2 linked regions of the Caenorhabditis elegans genome follow. The protein of the gene in region 1 interacts with the protein of each later gene in a biochemical or structural test. Each region holds a gene or a part of one and is shown in the gene's direction. Other genes may lie near its edges.

Region 1 (10,012 bases):
TGCTAATTGAACCTCGTGAGATAACTCTATAACCTCATTTATATATATATTTCTCTTTTGTTTTTCCCTTTGTCAGTTGTATAACTTTCTTTTATCAAATTATTTCCCTACGAGATTTTTAGAAAACTCGTTTTCCTGTTTCTTCTGTTTTTGCTTCATCACCATCAAATTTTCATCATATCCAAACAGCTGAAAAGTGCTGGAAAAAAGAATGAAAAAAAACAAGATTAGTATTCGGGTCAGTATGGGGAACCTCTGAAAAAAGAACGGCTCAAGGAAAAAAAATACTGAAAATATAGTCTGGCGTTGAAAATTAGAGGCCAAAGGCGGACAAGAGCAATATTTGAAATTAATTTCTACATGCTTCTTTTCCTCATCTCACTTCAAACAAAAAATTTGCTTTCTTTTTTCTTTTTTTTTTGCAAAATTAAACTAACTTGTGTTGCAAACTAAATTTCACGAAAAAGTAACACAAATTTTTTTGAAAAAGCTTAGTTTTTTAAATAATACCTGTTCATTTCTATATTTCCAAAAATTCCAAATTTCAGAATGTAGTTTCTCACTTTAAATCATATTGAGAAGTCTAAATTATATAACTGCCTATATTTTTCATAGTAAAGCTTTTATGCAGTTTAGTTTCTCTGGAAAAAAAAACATGGATTATTTTCGAAATTTGTCAAATATTTTGCTTCAGCGTCATTTTCTAAATGCCACTCAAAACATCCCGAAAAAAATGAAAATAAATTTGACGATCATTTTTGAAGTTTAGTTTACAAATCTTTTTGTCGAAATTATTTTTGAAAATTTCAAAAAATTACAGTTTTAGTGTATACCACTTTGGTAATTAAAAAACGTTTTTCAGATTCCAGTAGGTCTATGAAATTGTTGAGTGATAAGTTGAACTTTAAGCTGATGCTATAAAATAATTTCAGAAACAAAAATTGTTAACTTTCTTGAACTAATCATTTGCCAACTAACAATCAACTATAAATAAAGACGAATCCTGTAAAACAATTGCATACCTGTATATCAATCAATTTACTGTTTTCTATGTCTCCAGCTTTTCGAAACTCTCAATGAAGAAAATAAAAGTAAAGAAACAGAAAAGTACATTTCCAAAAGTGCTTGTCACTTCCAGCTCTTCTCCGTGTCCGTTTTGATCTGAAGTGCTTGCGACGATGGCGACCGAATAGCTGACTTTCTCGTGCCAATTAATCAAATTTATTCACATTCACATTCGCACACATATCTCCACCGCTTGCTCCTCCTCTTCTTTCATTCTTTTTTTGGTGAAAGCACTGATACATCCTTCTCATCTAAGAATTTGTCAACTGAAACCCACCCAAATTATACATTTTACTCGATTCATTAGATATATCTCAGTTCTCGGTTTTCTCTTTTTCCGCTTTAAGATCACTGTTCATTTTAATTCACATATATTTTTAGGTGCTTGCTTTCTAGTTTTAAAGTTTCCCACGTACTTTGCTGTCATAAAAACGTCATAATTTTGATAATAAGATATTTTTTGAGACTAGTTGACAAATTAATATGATATATACATATTCAACACTCTCTTGCACTTTTGTTATTCGCAGTCACTTCCAAAATAAAAATTTTATTAGCTGATTATTAAAATGTATCGCTATGTTCAAGCTTGTTTTTGATTTTGCATTAAATTGAACTTTCGTTTTGGGAAATTAAGCAATATTTTTTTATTATTTTTGTCTATAGAAATAAATTTAACAAAAAATTAGTATTCTTCAAAACCTCGACTGAAAATGATAACCTCAAGCTAAAAGTTTCGACGTTTTCTCGTTCGTTTCCAAAGTTTAAAAATTTACCGTATTTCTTCTATTAATATGGCTGCAATACTATTTTTCGAAGGTCTTCCCGCTTGCAATACTATTAGGGAGTGCAAGACTAATAGGGAGTGAAATACTATTTTTCAGAACATTTTTCTGTGTTGGGGCTTACTAGTATTTACTTGAAAAAACTCCAACTTTAATTTGGAAATATAGAAAATTTGATTGAAATTGCAACAAAAAGGTACAATAACTTCAATCTCATAAAAATTTTCTTATAAATTGTTGCAAAATATTCAAAAAATGTTATTAAAATCTTAAAATTAGTAAGGAGGGTTTGCACCAAAAAAAAGTAGGTGCAAGACTATTAGGGAGTGCAACACTAATAGGGAATGCAATACTAATTTTCGGAAGGTCTTTGAAGGGCAATACTAATAGGGAGTGCCAGTCTAATAGGGAGGCCAAACTAATAGAAGATATACGGTAAAAGATTATAAAATTAGAAGTGAAGATGTTACTAAAAAATTGTTCTCTGTAGGTTAAAATTCTAACTTGCTTTTTCAATAAACCTAAAACTTGCCTGGTAAAACATTTCCCCCGTTTCCGGGAATTTTCCTCAAAATATATCAACTTTTAATAGCAAAAGTGTTCTGAGACACTGAAATTGATATCCTGTGAAACAGCATCTGACCACTAAAACAATTATCGAAACTCAGACGTTCAATTTTTCCATTTTACAAAAATTATAGCTTGAACACATTTTGCAAAATGCCGAATGACAGATTCAACTTTGAACAAATATTTTGCATTTTGCATTTCCTTTAAAAAAAAATCTCCCAGTTATTTTGTCAGAAAATGGGGTGACACAAGAAAGAAACTTTTTTTGAAAAGCCTTGTTTGTTGCTTTCTCATTTATTGCCGTCGCCGGAGGCCTCTTTCCGAATTGTTGCCAGGACACCTTTTCCTAGTTTTTTCGTTGATTTTCATGTCTCACAACTTCAATTTTTCATTCTTGATCGAAATATTCTTCGTTTCAATTTCTGCTCTTTTTCATTTCTTCTTGATTTAGTATTTTTGGATCGTCCCCCCGTCAATGTCAATTCGACGACGGAACAATAATGGAACAAGTCCGTCGACCGCATTTGGGTAAGTGTTTCAAACAGGAAGAAATTTCAACAAAAAATGAAAAAGCAATTTGCAAAATGAATGGGAGCAGTGGAAAAAAAGTGAAAATGAATTAGATATACTGATGCTCTCTCTCTCTCTGCAAAAAAAGAAGATGAGAGAATAAAAATTAAATTGAGAAAAGGGCAGGTTACAAAGCTCATTGTCCTTTTTTTGCCAATCATTGTGAGTCTAAAATGGGCGACAGCATTCAAAAATTGTGAACTCTAGATTTTCGGCTTAAAAACTTGCATGCCGTGTTCGTAATTGTGTTTGTAGTGTTGTGAGCTAGTTGAGTGAATTTTGCTTAACAATTTTAAAATTCATAATTTTTTATTATAATGTGTCACTGTAAATAATACTTTGGATTTTTTTAACCATTATTTCCCACGATGAGTTATCTGAACCGGTTTATCGTTATCTGAAAACTCATAAATTTTACCAAGATTTCTGCAAAATACGGCTGATCTTACAACAAGTCAGTGTATTAGAGGGCGCAACACTAACTTTCGATTTGCTCCTAGGGCTGCAATACTAATATAGAAAACACGGTACATAGTTTTACAAGGTGTTATAAATTACAGTTATTTTTCTAAAAGTTTTATAAGAACCTCTTAAACTTGGACTATTTAAAATCTAAACTTCAAAACATTTTTTACAGCTGGATTTTTAACCCCGATGCTTTCTAACAACTTGCTCGCGTAAATCTTATTTTTCTTAGCTTCTACCCTGACAAAAGTAATAAACCATTTTCTTCAAAAATATCTGGAATAACAATAATAATAAAAGGGTAATAATCCGGTGTGTCCACTCATTTTTGCACCAACTGCTTCCTTTCCTCGGTGGCCCACATCTCCTTCATTTCCTTTATTCTTTCTTTCCCGCACTCTCGTCATGCGCATTCTTTTTTTTTCAGTCGACACCTTCCAAAAGAGAAGTGACAAAGTACATTTCCGTGTCCTTTGATGAGCAGCAATTAATGGGATGGAAGACTAGTGAGGGTGGAGGTGAATCTAGGAGAGATTCTAAATGTAGCCATGAATATAAATATTTGCTCACAAGTATTTTCTTTTTTCGCCCGGAAGTATCGCTTGAAAATCTTCGAGATCTTGAAAATCTTACTATTAGGTTCTTATAAAAAATGCTTCTTCAGATTCTAATTTTCGTTCTTACTGCACGTTATTTCCTATGTTTTGCTTTTTCGTCTAATCTAGTAGTGTCAGATTCTCAATTTGCTGCTGACCTTCTCACTTTTCATACAAATTCTTCATGATTCGGTTTTTCCACTATTCTCTCCCTCTCTGTCTCTCTATTTCTCTTCCTCTCTTTTTCCTTTTTTCACACTCCAATGCGGCCACCCAAATTGTATTTTCTGATGATATCTCCATATGAGCCACAGCACCAGTTACAATCTTGCTCAACAAAAATCATTTGTTTACCCCAAGTCACAAATATTCTCGAAAATTGGAACTAAATCTAGAAAGGCACTTCTTTGGACAGAAATATAATTTTAATCTGAACTTCTTATTTGAAGATGGAGTATTGAGAGTAGGGAAATGATTTGAAACCGCTCGTATAGTCCTAAAAATTCAAACTTTGCAAATCAATTTTGCAAAAATTTTGTTAAATTGTTATAAATCTCAGTCAAAAAGTGGAGATAACTCAAAATTGGTTTCAAAATTTTAAATGCGTTTCAATTTTTGTATTTGAACATTCTAGAACATTCAAACCTGCAGCAATTCTTAAAATCACTCAAAAAAAACCGCATTGTTGGAAAAAGTTGCCAGTTCTTCCAAAATTAGAGTAAAACAAATCGAAGAACAGCTACACAGCTAAATTTCAAAAAAAAACGGAGTATTTTCTTACATTAGGAATAACTGATTATAATCAAAATAGCCTGAAACGATACGAAATCTAAAAAATATATAAATGAACAAAAAATTTTTCAAGATAACTCAAGCATCTAATTGTCTAACAAGAAGTAACTCTTTTCCTTTTTCTTCAGTTGGCACCATCGATAATTACGTACATTAAGCCGAGTCTTCTCTGTCCGTGTCCTGTGTGTCTCATCATGATCCATGTACCACCTTCTTCTTCTACTACTACTTCTTGTTCTTTTTCCTCCTTTCTCGAAGTCCTCTTCCTACTCTCTATTTCGTTGTCCTGCAATCTAGAGTATGTGACAAAACATATCAAATTACCCGTGAACGATAATCTCTCTTTATTTCGTCTCATCTCTCTTTTTGCTCTGCAGAGGATCGGCTCATCATCCACTTGTTGGAATGTCTATTTTCACCGCCATCGCAACACTTTTGACAATTCAAAAAAATAATTTGTTGATGTTCGCTTTTTCTGTCCAACTGTTTCTAGGTGACCGAGTTCTTTTGCTAGAAAAGTCAACAAAAAGTGAATTAGCTGGCTGTTGCTGGGGAAAAATGTGGATTTGAAATATTTTCGGTCACATTTCCCTCTCGCTTTGCTTGCTTTGAATCAAAATTTCAATAGGTACTTGCTTTTCGTGTTTTGAGACTATTTGGACTTTCTTTGTGGTATTTGGGTGTGGGGTTTATAAGTTCAACGTTTCGTTTTTTCTTGCCAAAATGTTTAGTAATGATAATGCAATCGTTTCCAGACCAAAAGGCGTACAATTGTAGTTTTCTGATTTCGGAAGTTAATTGTATTTTTGGAATGTGAAAAACAATCCGGCAAAAACATTGAACACCTCTATCTGGTTGATACAATTTTACGGTGTATTTTGTAATAAAAAATAGAATTTAATAAATATAGCTGATCAGAGCGAAAAAATACAAAGAACCACATGGAGTCATATTCAAAAATCTATAGAAATAGTGACGTAGGAAATTATAAAATTATACATTATCCGAAGAAAAATAGCTTACTCAAAAAATGTTCATAATCAAGATCGACCAAAAAATATGTTTTGAGTTGTTATGTGAGTTTATAAGAGTATAATGTAAACAAATATTTATCCATGAAAATCATTTTCTTAAATTTGAATCGTTTTCTAATAGAGCATTTTTATTAAAATAAATCTGTAGGTTTAAAAAAAATTGTTTTTAAAACGTGACCTCCAAAAGAACTAAAATAAATTTATTTTTGTTTTATTGTCGAAAGTTTATTGTTGAAATTGTAAACTTGGGAATCTGCCTCGCAATAAGTATCCGTACAACTTACTTTCTAAACTAACTGTGGATATTTTTGATATTATAGGTTAACTTCAAACTTCTTTTTTTTCAAATCGAATAGATGTTTTTCTACATTTAAAAATAAATTTTTGCTCTAAAATGATATGCACACTGAAATTAGCAGTTTTGTGGATTTACCTAGAAGAATTTCCTCAAAACCTTTGTAGTGATACTAGAAAAATGCAGAAAACTTATTTTACCCATATCAATTCAAAATTTTCGGAACTTTTTCACGAGTACCGAGCCTCCCAATCTTAACAACTATCTGTAACTATACATCTCACGACGCCTCTCCTTTCGTCTTGTCTCTCATTTTGGCGTATGTGATCAAATTTTAATGAGGAAGCGGAAGGGACCACAAACATACAAGAGCGGGAACAATGGAAGCAAGAAGGGTGGGACGGGAGAGACATAGGAGATATGGCTCCAACTGGGGTGGTGTTGGTTGTGTGGCGTCGGCTGCGGCAAAAAATAAGACTGCTCCTCTGGCCCTTCATTCTCTGCTCTGGTGGCACGCTTTTATGATTGTTATTATCCGGTCTCAACACAACAATTCATCACGCTCCAGATGCTGCTTTTGTGCCAGATCTCTTGAGCCACCAGAAACAAACTTACAAATTTACGATTTAGATGCATTACGGATAACTTTTGTGAACATCCCCCTCCTCCTACCGTAGTCGACTCCAAAGTGATATGTTTTCCGTCATTATGTTCGGGCTTATGTGCATTTTTATGTACGTCTTGCTTTCTCAACAACAGCTTTCTAAGTTTGATATCACTTTCTGTATATTTAGCTGAGATTAAGCGTCCTTCGAAGGATATACAACATACTGAATTACGTCTAGTGAAAGGCTTAAAAGTTAACTAGTAGGCCTGACTGAAAAACTTGGTTTTTGAAATCCAAAAAAACATCAATTATACATTGCTCACTAGTCAGTTAACGTTGTTTTTTTTTCATTTGCTTACAGAAACAATTTTCTAATAATTACAGACAGACTGTCATGGACAGTGAATACCGGATCATACTCAACGTGGGTGGTGTTCGACACGAAACCTATAAGCATACGCTTAAGAAAATTCCAGCTACACGGTAAAGTAACAATTATTCCATATTTCTTTCTAGCATGATTTTTTTTATTCAGACTATCCCGGTTGACTACAAATTTGGCCAATTATGATCCAGTTTTAAACGAGTATTTTTTCGATAGACATCCCGGAGTTTTTGCGCAAATACTAAATTATTATAGGTAACAAGGCACAAATCGCATTTTCGATAATTTTTTTGAGTTTAAGAACGGGCAAATTGCATTATCCTCTTGACGTGTGTGGACCATTATTTGAAGAGGAGTTAAAGGTAAGAAGATAATTGTTAAAAGATAAGAAAATACATTATTTTTTAGTATTGGGGACTTGATTCAAATGAATGCGAACCATGCTGTTGGATGACATTATCTGGTACAAGAGATACACAAGATGTGCTCAAAACATTAGACGAGTTGGATATTGAAGTTGATCAAACAGAAGGACCTGTAAGCTTTTTGTATAACAAGAGAAAAATGCAGAATTTTAGAACATTTTTTATCCATTATGATTCATTTTACAAAGCAATATAAAAGTTTTTGCGACTCCTAATCAAAAAAAAACCGGCATACTAAGTACAACGTGAATTTGGTTGCTATGTCTGCACATTGTGGAGTAAAAAGTAATCGAATGAGATCGTGGCGAGACCCACCGAGAAAAAAACCGTGCCTTTAAATTTTAAAGGCACAGTTTTAAATTTGAAGTGTTCCTATTATAGTTTTTTTTGAAATTTTGAAGCTTCATTTTAAAGTTTAAAATGAAGCTTCAAAATTTCAAAAAAAAAACACTATAATAGGAATACTTCAAATTTTTCGAGGTTTCAAACTCGCTATACTTCAGATTTTAAAGTAACTATTATAGAAGTAAATATTGGTGCCAGATATCTCTCAGATAGTCAGAAAAATTCTATTTTTTACCAATTTGACAATAGGCTTGGTCTAAAAAAGTCACGATTGGCAAAATTAAAACTCGAAATTTTCAGGAACTGTACAAACGATTTGGTTGGGAGGATGACTATCATAATGATAGTCTCAGTGCCTGGCAGAAGATCAAACCTCGGATTTGGAGGCTTTTCGATGAACCAAATTCATCTAGATCAGCACAATTTATAGCAGCTATTTCTGTATTTTTTCTGATAACAGCCATCATTGTTTTCTGTCTGAAAACCCATCCTGGTTTGAGGATCCCTGAATTAGCTCCATTTGGAAACTTTTCGCGGAATCATCGGAGTACATCTTCACGAATACATCCTGCACAGATAAACATTGATAAGGCCAATTCTAGGCCTCATCCAACTTTTATGGTACAGTATACAGAAAGATTGAATATTTAATATTCCTTATACTTTTCAGTACATAGAAACAATATGTAACATTTGGTTCACGATTGAAATTCTGGCAAGATTCTCTTCATGTCCATCTCGTTTTGAATATCTTCGTGCACCTGTGAACATTATCGACATTGTTGCCACTTTGACATTCTACATTGATTTATTATCAAGCATGTTTGGAGCAACTGCAGATCTTGAGTTCTTCTCCATCATTCGTATTATGAGACTTTTCAAATTGACTCATCATAATTCGGGACTCAAGATTTTGATGCACACCTTCCGAGCATCAGCAAAGGAATTGATGCTACTTGTATTCTTTTTGGTATTGGGAGTTGTTGTATTTGCATCACTGGTGTATTATGCAGAACGGGTGGAAAGTAATGAAGATAATCAATTTGTGTCAATTCCGATTGGATTGTGGTGGGCGGTAAGTTGAGAATGTCTATTTATACTCACGTTAAGCCCTTTAAATTTTGAACTCAATATTTTGAAAGTACCTTTCTCCTTTTTTTTATTTTTTGAGTTGGATGAATGATTCAATTTTTCAAAACTATTTTTTATAGTTTCCAAAAAATTTCTGTACTGCGTGCCCACTTCTAAACATTCTTTAAAAAACAATTAAATGTCTGGAAATAACGTATTACGGGAACACTACGTTTTGAGGATGCGTATTGCGCAACATATTTGACGCGCAGAATATCTCGCACCGAAAACTACAGTAGTTCTTTAAATGACTACTGTCGCATTGTTTTTCACTTTTTTTTTCTGATGAAACATTGTAAAAAAACAACGAAAAATAGGAGGAAAATTAAATATCGTTGTCACAATTAGAAAAGAAATTCGTTTCGAAAGTGCAGCCTGTAAATTGACATCAGTGTTATAATAACATGTTACAGTAGACATTTAAAGATTTACTGTAGTTTTCGCTGCGAGATATTTTTCGCGTCAAATATGTTGTGCAATACGCATTCTCTGAATTTTACATTCTCGTAATATTTCTTGTTACAAATTCTGAAAGTAAAATGAAACCTTTCCTTGTAAAAATGAAACATCAGAACAAAATTCCAATTTCCAGATCGTCACAATGACAACAATTGGCTATGGTGACATAACACCTCATACATATCTGGGCCGCCTGATTGGTTCGATTTGTGCTCTCGCTGGTGTATTGACAATCGCTTTGCCAGTTCCAGTATGTTTTCCATTTATTATTCAAATTAATGTTGCCAGTTTTGAATTTTAATTTCAAGGTCATCGTCTCTAACTTCGCCATGTTCTATTCCCATACACAAGCTCGTTCAAAGATGCCCAAGAAAAGACGAGGAGTGCTCTCAATGGATCAAGTTGCTCAGCATGTAAGTAAAATATTCTAGGGGAGGCATTCGTGTATTTCAAACTTTCAGGTAAAACATGCTCCGGTTCGAAATTCC
Region 2 (5,268 bases), on another chromosome or scaffold:
TTTTTCAGTATAAGAACAATGTTCCCGTGCCGGATTTCATTTGTGAAAACATCGAAGTCATATCTGAAGAATATATGAAATATCGAAATTTAAAAAACGGCATTGGGAAACCAGTAATTATTAAGTTTCGGTTCGGCGTGCTTATTGATACACTGTTGGAGAATTTAAAGTTAGTTTTTAGAGGAATTTTCGGGGAATCCGGCCGGGAGGGCGGATGTGTGAGTTTCCTCGTTCCGAAATTTTTTTAGATACCAAGAGATCATTCGTATTTCATTTAATTTCAGAACTGCTTGGACAAACAATCTTGCGAATAAAGAAAGTTTAAAATTCAAAGTTTATTCAACTGTGAGTTAGCTTGTTCTTCCAAAAATCTGTCGTTTCAGCAAGATTGGGTGCTGGGAGGTGTTTTAGATGCTTTCGGTGTATCATTTACTATATATAAAGCGCGTGTCCTTCTGTCCCTATGTAGTTTGATCTCTGATCAGAGCAACGAAATTTTGGGAAACCTTATGCTAAATGCGCAGCAGACATCGATCGAGGTCCGCGATAGACACCGTTTATCTAATGTGTTTTCTCAAAAAAGTCGGGGGCCGCGCCGTAGGTGCGGTCCACGGCTGGTTAAATCATATCCAAACAGTTGGTCCTAAAGAAGAACCAAACTACAATGCAATGATTCTAATGGAGCTATGGAGTGAGAATGAAAAGCCATTCGTGAAGTTTTACTATAAACCGGAAGAGGTTACTCTGGAAGACCATATTCTACAAGATTTGACTGGTATCATTCCAGGATGCCCAGGGAAAAAATGTTCTCTGAGGGTGGGTTCTAATCATAAAAATTACTTTTAGGATATTTTATCTTTCAGAATTTGAATAAATGCTGTGATAATACCCGAGCAACACTGGAAGAACTTGAAAATAATTGTTGAACTTTTTATAAATAATATTTTAATTTGTAATTCGTCTTCTCTATTTTCAAAACTTACTGGCGCCTTTGCAAACTCATGCATTTTAAACAAATTGTTCGAAAAAAAGAGAATGATACGTTTTGGCTGACAAAAGGAATAAAATATGTATTGTTTCTTCAGAATTGACTCAGCGCTTTCTTGAAATCATTTTTAATCATATTCCTTATTTTGGTCAGTTGGCATTTCATTTTGGATTTGAATATCCCATATACAACCTTCATATAAGATATTCTTGAACATTTACACATCCTTAGCATGTTCTCAACAGAACGTTGAACTTTTTATTTATTCTTTGTGCAGTAGGAATTATAACAAAAGATAAGATAGTAGCAAGAAAATGAAAGATAAGGGTAGATAACCAGCAATTTTCTTGTTCCTGGATATCTCTGCACTATATCTTCATCTTCTTCTAATTCTGATTTTTTGGATACTTTGGTTTTTCATTTATTTAGTCCGTTCAAAGTTGAAGTTGTTTCTGAGTACTTTTGGCAGAAGCCACGTAAGCAAGGCAGGCAGGCACTTGCATGAAAGTACTTTTATGAGAAATTATTATTAAATAAATAAATAAACTGGAAAATCTAAGAAAAACTTCCACCTCTGCGACCTCCGCGTGCTTCAGAAAGGTGATTTATTTGATTTATTTGTTTTTTTTTACTCGTGAAACACAGCTTTTCAATCTCATGTTTCAATTTCTTGTAATTTTTCAACTTCAAGCTTGTTGGTAAACAATTTTCATGTATTTTTATTTTATATCTCTAATATTACAGAAGTGAGAAATCAAAAGATGAAGATTTCATGGTTTTTGTTCATTTGTTTGATTGTTCAATTCGCCATCGCACTTTCTGAAAACCCCAAACGGATTTACACACAAGTGGTAAGATAATGTCATCCGTCTTTTACATACATAAATATTCTTAGCTATTTCGTCATGGAGCCCGTGCCCCATCAAATAGTCTCAGCGATCCTGCTTATCTTGCAAACTTTCCAAGAGGTCTAGGAGAATTGACTGATGTAAGACTGTTATTTTATTAATTTAAGTTTGAAAATAGTAATTTCAGAGAGGCTTCGAAAATTCATTTCGATTGGGACGATTCTTAAAAACTCGATATGTAGACTCGAAATTTGTTGATGGAAATTTGAAGCCACGTCAGGTATCGTTATTTTTCAGAAATTTTATTATATTTTTCAAAATTTCAGATGTATTGGAGATCCGTAAACAAAAATCGATGTCTAAGCTCAGCGTCAACCGTTGGTGCGGCTATGTTCGAAGATCCATCTAGGCATTTATATGTTCCTGTTCTTACAGAGGAGATCGGAGAAAATGTATTTAGAAATTGAAAATAAAAATAACTGATTAATCTATCCTTTTATTTCAGCTACTAAACTACGACCAAGCTAACTGTCCCCGAGAGTTAGAGCTGATCAAAGAGAAATGCCCAGATTTTGGTGGAAGTTTTCATCCGGTAAGATATATAGAGCTTTTCAGATTGGTATTGGATTTGAATAAAGTTTTATTAAAAGTCAAACATTTCAAAAATGATTATTCTTCAGTGGACGATTTACGAGGAATTCATTGCCAACTGTCTTAAATATACTCACCCAGTTTTCAAGCAATACCCTTTTCACACCATTGAAGCTCATATCAATGAGGTTTATTTTAAACTCATTCAGCGTCTAAGCTGTTCATTTATTTATTTTTTCAGTACAAAAATGGAATTCCTCTTCCACCACTCATCGCTCAACATATAAACGAAATCATGGGTATTTATGTGAATGTGACCCAGTTTATCACAGGAACTGGTAATCATCATGACCCGCGAATGATGAAGGTCAAATTTGGAAATCTTATGAACACGTTGCTAACGGACATTAAAAATAAGATATACATGGATAAAGAAGAGAAACACAAGAGTGATGGAAGAGTATCCAGAAGGGAGAAGTTGGCAGTGTACTCTACGGTATGTTATATCATATACACAACATGGCTCAGATATGTCGATAAGGTCGAGGCGTGGCGAGGGCGTTTGTCACTCGCCTCCTTACTAGCCCTCTTCGCGTTCTGTATCGAATTATATTTTCGGATGTCTTTTCGGTTTTTGGATGATATGGTTAATCTAAAACACCATTGGTGTCTCTTTTTTCGAGTTTCTAGAGTTATTTCCAAGTTCAAAATCAGTATTTGCTGATTAATCCTAATAATAAAATATTTCAGCAAGACTGGATTCTAATGGGAGTGCTCGATTCATTGAATGTGTTGGAACAAACTGTTGGACTCGACAAATATCCCGAATACAACTCAATGATCATATTTGAAACGTGGAAGGATAATGGAAAATATTTTGTGAAAGTTTTCTATAAAAAAGAAGAGATCACTGCCGAGGATCATGAGCTAATAGATGTCACCAAATTTGTGAGAAACTGTAAAAGAGAACGATGTTTGGCACAGGTTTGTTTTGAACTTTTGTTTTCTCATTCATACATTAAAAATGTATTTCAGGATTTCCTCGACTGCTGCGATGATTATCGAAACAAAGGTGAAGCTGAGAGTTGTGAAGCATCTGATTTAAAGATTCGAACCACGAGAAGCTCTCCACCTAATAATATTAGAAGAGATCTTCATGTATCGGAATTCTCTGGTCCAGAATAATCAATTAGTTGATACTGTTTCTTTCTGTAAATACATGCGAATGAAGTGAATCGATTGATATTTATATTCCATTTAAATGAAGGTTCCGCGTGAAATACTCAAGTATAAATTGTGGTTTCGATGGAAAAAGGACCTAGCTTTGCATATTGAACTTCCGTAGCCTAACAACCAAAAAAGTTTCTCTTCGTTTTTTTTTTCGTCCGATTAATTCGTCATCTCCACTTAACCGACTATACGACGAATGGGCATCGGTCTATTCGTCGAGATCCTCCTTCTCTTGATGCCGTAAGTTTTCTCTGTCGGACTGCAGAAGACAAAACAAGTCTCTTCACCTTCCTGAGCGCATTGTTCTCTTCTATTTCTCGTCCTCTCTCCTTTTATGCCTAGTTTACCGATCGGCCTGTTCTGTTCGATAATATTATCTCAAAAATATTGTTTCGGGTGGACGGAGGGCGTTTTGTTTTTAACAATATAGCCACGTGGCCCGGTTGTAATTTCTCGGCAAATCATTAGTTTTTCTAGCGTATTTTTTCCTACCTAAATTTGTGAGAATTAGCATCAAAAATGGACATTATTTATTTTGAAAAGTTTAATTATTATTCCCCAAATGCGAAATTTTGTGCTAAGAATACGGTATTCAAATCAATCAATAAAAGTCCGCAAAAACACACATTCGAAACTACAGTACTGTTTAAAGGGGCATGCCCTTTTGCATTTAACAAAAACTGTCGTGCCGAGACCGGGTACTGTAGTTTTGACGCAAAAATTACGAAATTTTTTTGTTCTCAGTTTTCAAGTTCAGGCAAAGTTAGTTGAATTCTCAAAAAATAATATTTAATTACAGAGGCATAGTATTTTCATTAAATAAGATGACGTGTCAGGTTTTCTGACAATAGTTTGCGCGTTGTTTAGTGCGCATTGTGTGCAAACACCACTGGTCCGCAAGTTTCCGTGCCCAGGTTCCAACGGATTTCTATTTGTTTTCCAGGATCCGTTTTCTATTTTTTCAAGTCTTTTTCTCTATCTTCTATATTTTCCGACAAAAAAGAGGGTTTCTGTGTGCACACTTGTCCACTTTTCACCACATTTTTATATACCTAATTGTTGTCGTTTCAATTAAAATTCGACATTTTTCTCAAATGACGTCACTTTCAGAATGTTTTTCTATTTGCACACGTTGAAAATTTATTTTCAGGGTCCTGAACCTGAAATATGTGGAGGTTTCCACTGATACTCGCGTCGGTTTGTTGGCTGACAACAGGTATGTCAGGAATATTCAATTGATTCAAAATAAATTCAAATTTCAGCTCAACAACAAAACGTAGCGAACGATCCAGATAAGAAGTTGGCCAGTTTCGATGCATGCAAAGCAGATATTCATAAACATTGTAGCCGAGTGAGTTTGACATTAAAGCTATTGATAGGCAAATAAAATATTTCAGCCTGATGTAGATCTAACAAGCGACATGTCGATTCTTGAATGCCTTCAAGATGCCGGATTTTCTGAGACAGCGACTCTATCCGAACAGTGTGAGCAACTTGTCTGGGATTTCAAGGTCAAAATAACACAAGACGAGCGTTTCGTATCCGCGGCCAAACAATATTGCGAGGAAGAGTTGAAGGGAAATGCTGCAATGAATCTTTGTACATCTCAAA

Evidence for each region.
Region 2: of the proteins of shw-3 (region 1) and acp-2, one has a biochemical effect on the other in vitro, tested with the Caenorhabditis elegans proteins (one study listed by BioGRID).

What each region holds. Positions count from the first base shown.
Region 1 is NC_003283.11:12,973,493-12,983,504, reverse strand, and holds the start of shw-3 (BTB domain-containing protein), read left to right. Parts: upstream 1-2,895; coding exon 2,896-2,948; intron 2,949-7,163; coding exon 7,164-7,262; intron 7,263-7,314; coding exon 7,315-7,419; intron 7,420-7,465; coding exon 7,466-7,526; intron 7,527-7,572; coding exon 7,573-7,701; intron 7,702-7,772; exon of another isoform or gene 7,773-7,922; intron 7,923-8,234; coding exon 8,235-8,555; intron 8,556-8,604; coding exon 8,605-9,009; intron 9,010-9,195; exon of another isoform or gene 9,196-9,345; intron 9,346-9,657; coding exon 9,658-9,774; intron 9,775-9,832; coding exon 9,833-9,937; intron 9,938-9,985; coding exon 9,986-10,012.
Region 2 is NC_003280.10:8,428,395-8,433,662, reverse strand, and holds acp-2 (ACid Phosphatase family), read left to right. Parts: upstream 1-1,732; 5' UTR 1,733-1,749; coding exon 1,750-1,839; intron 1,840-1,883; coding exon 1,884-1,976; intron 1,977-2,023; coding exon 2,024-2,116; intron 2,117-2,162; coding exon 2,163-2,288; intron 2,289-2,341; coding exon 2,342-2,428; intron 2,429-2,516; coding exon 2,517-2,615; intron 2,616-2,668; coding exon 2,669-2,923; intron 2,924-3,177; coding exon 3,178-3,411; intron 3,412-3,462; coding exon 3,463-3,612; 3' UTR 3,613-3,704; downstream 3,705-5,268. Other genes in the region: acp-4 (ACid Phosphatase family), read left to right, coding at 9-169, 285-345, 638-673; F14E5.2 (Golgi apparatus protein 1 homolog), read left to right, coding at 4,825-4,873, 4,920-5,008, 5,055-5,268.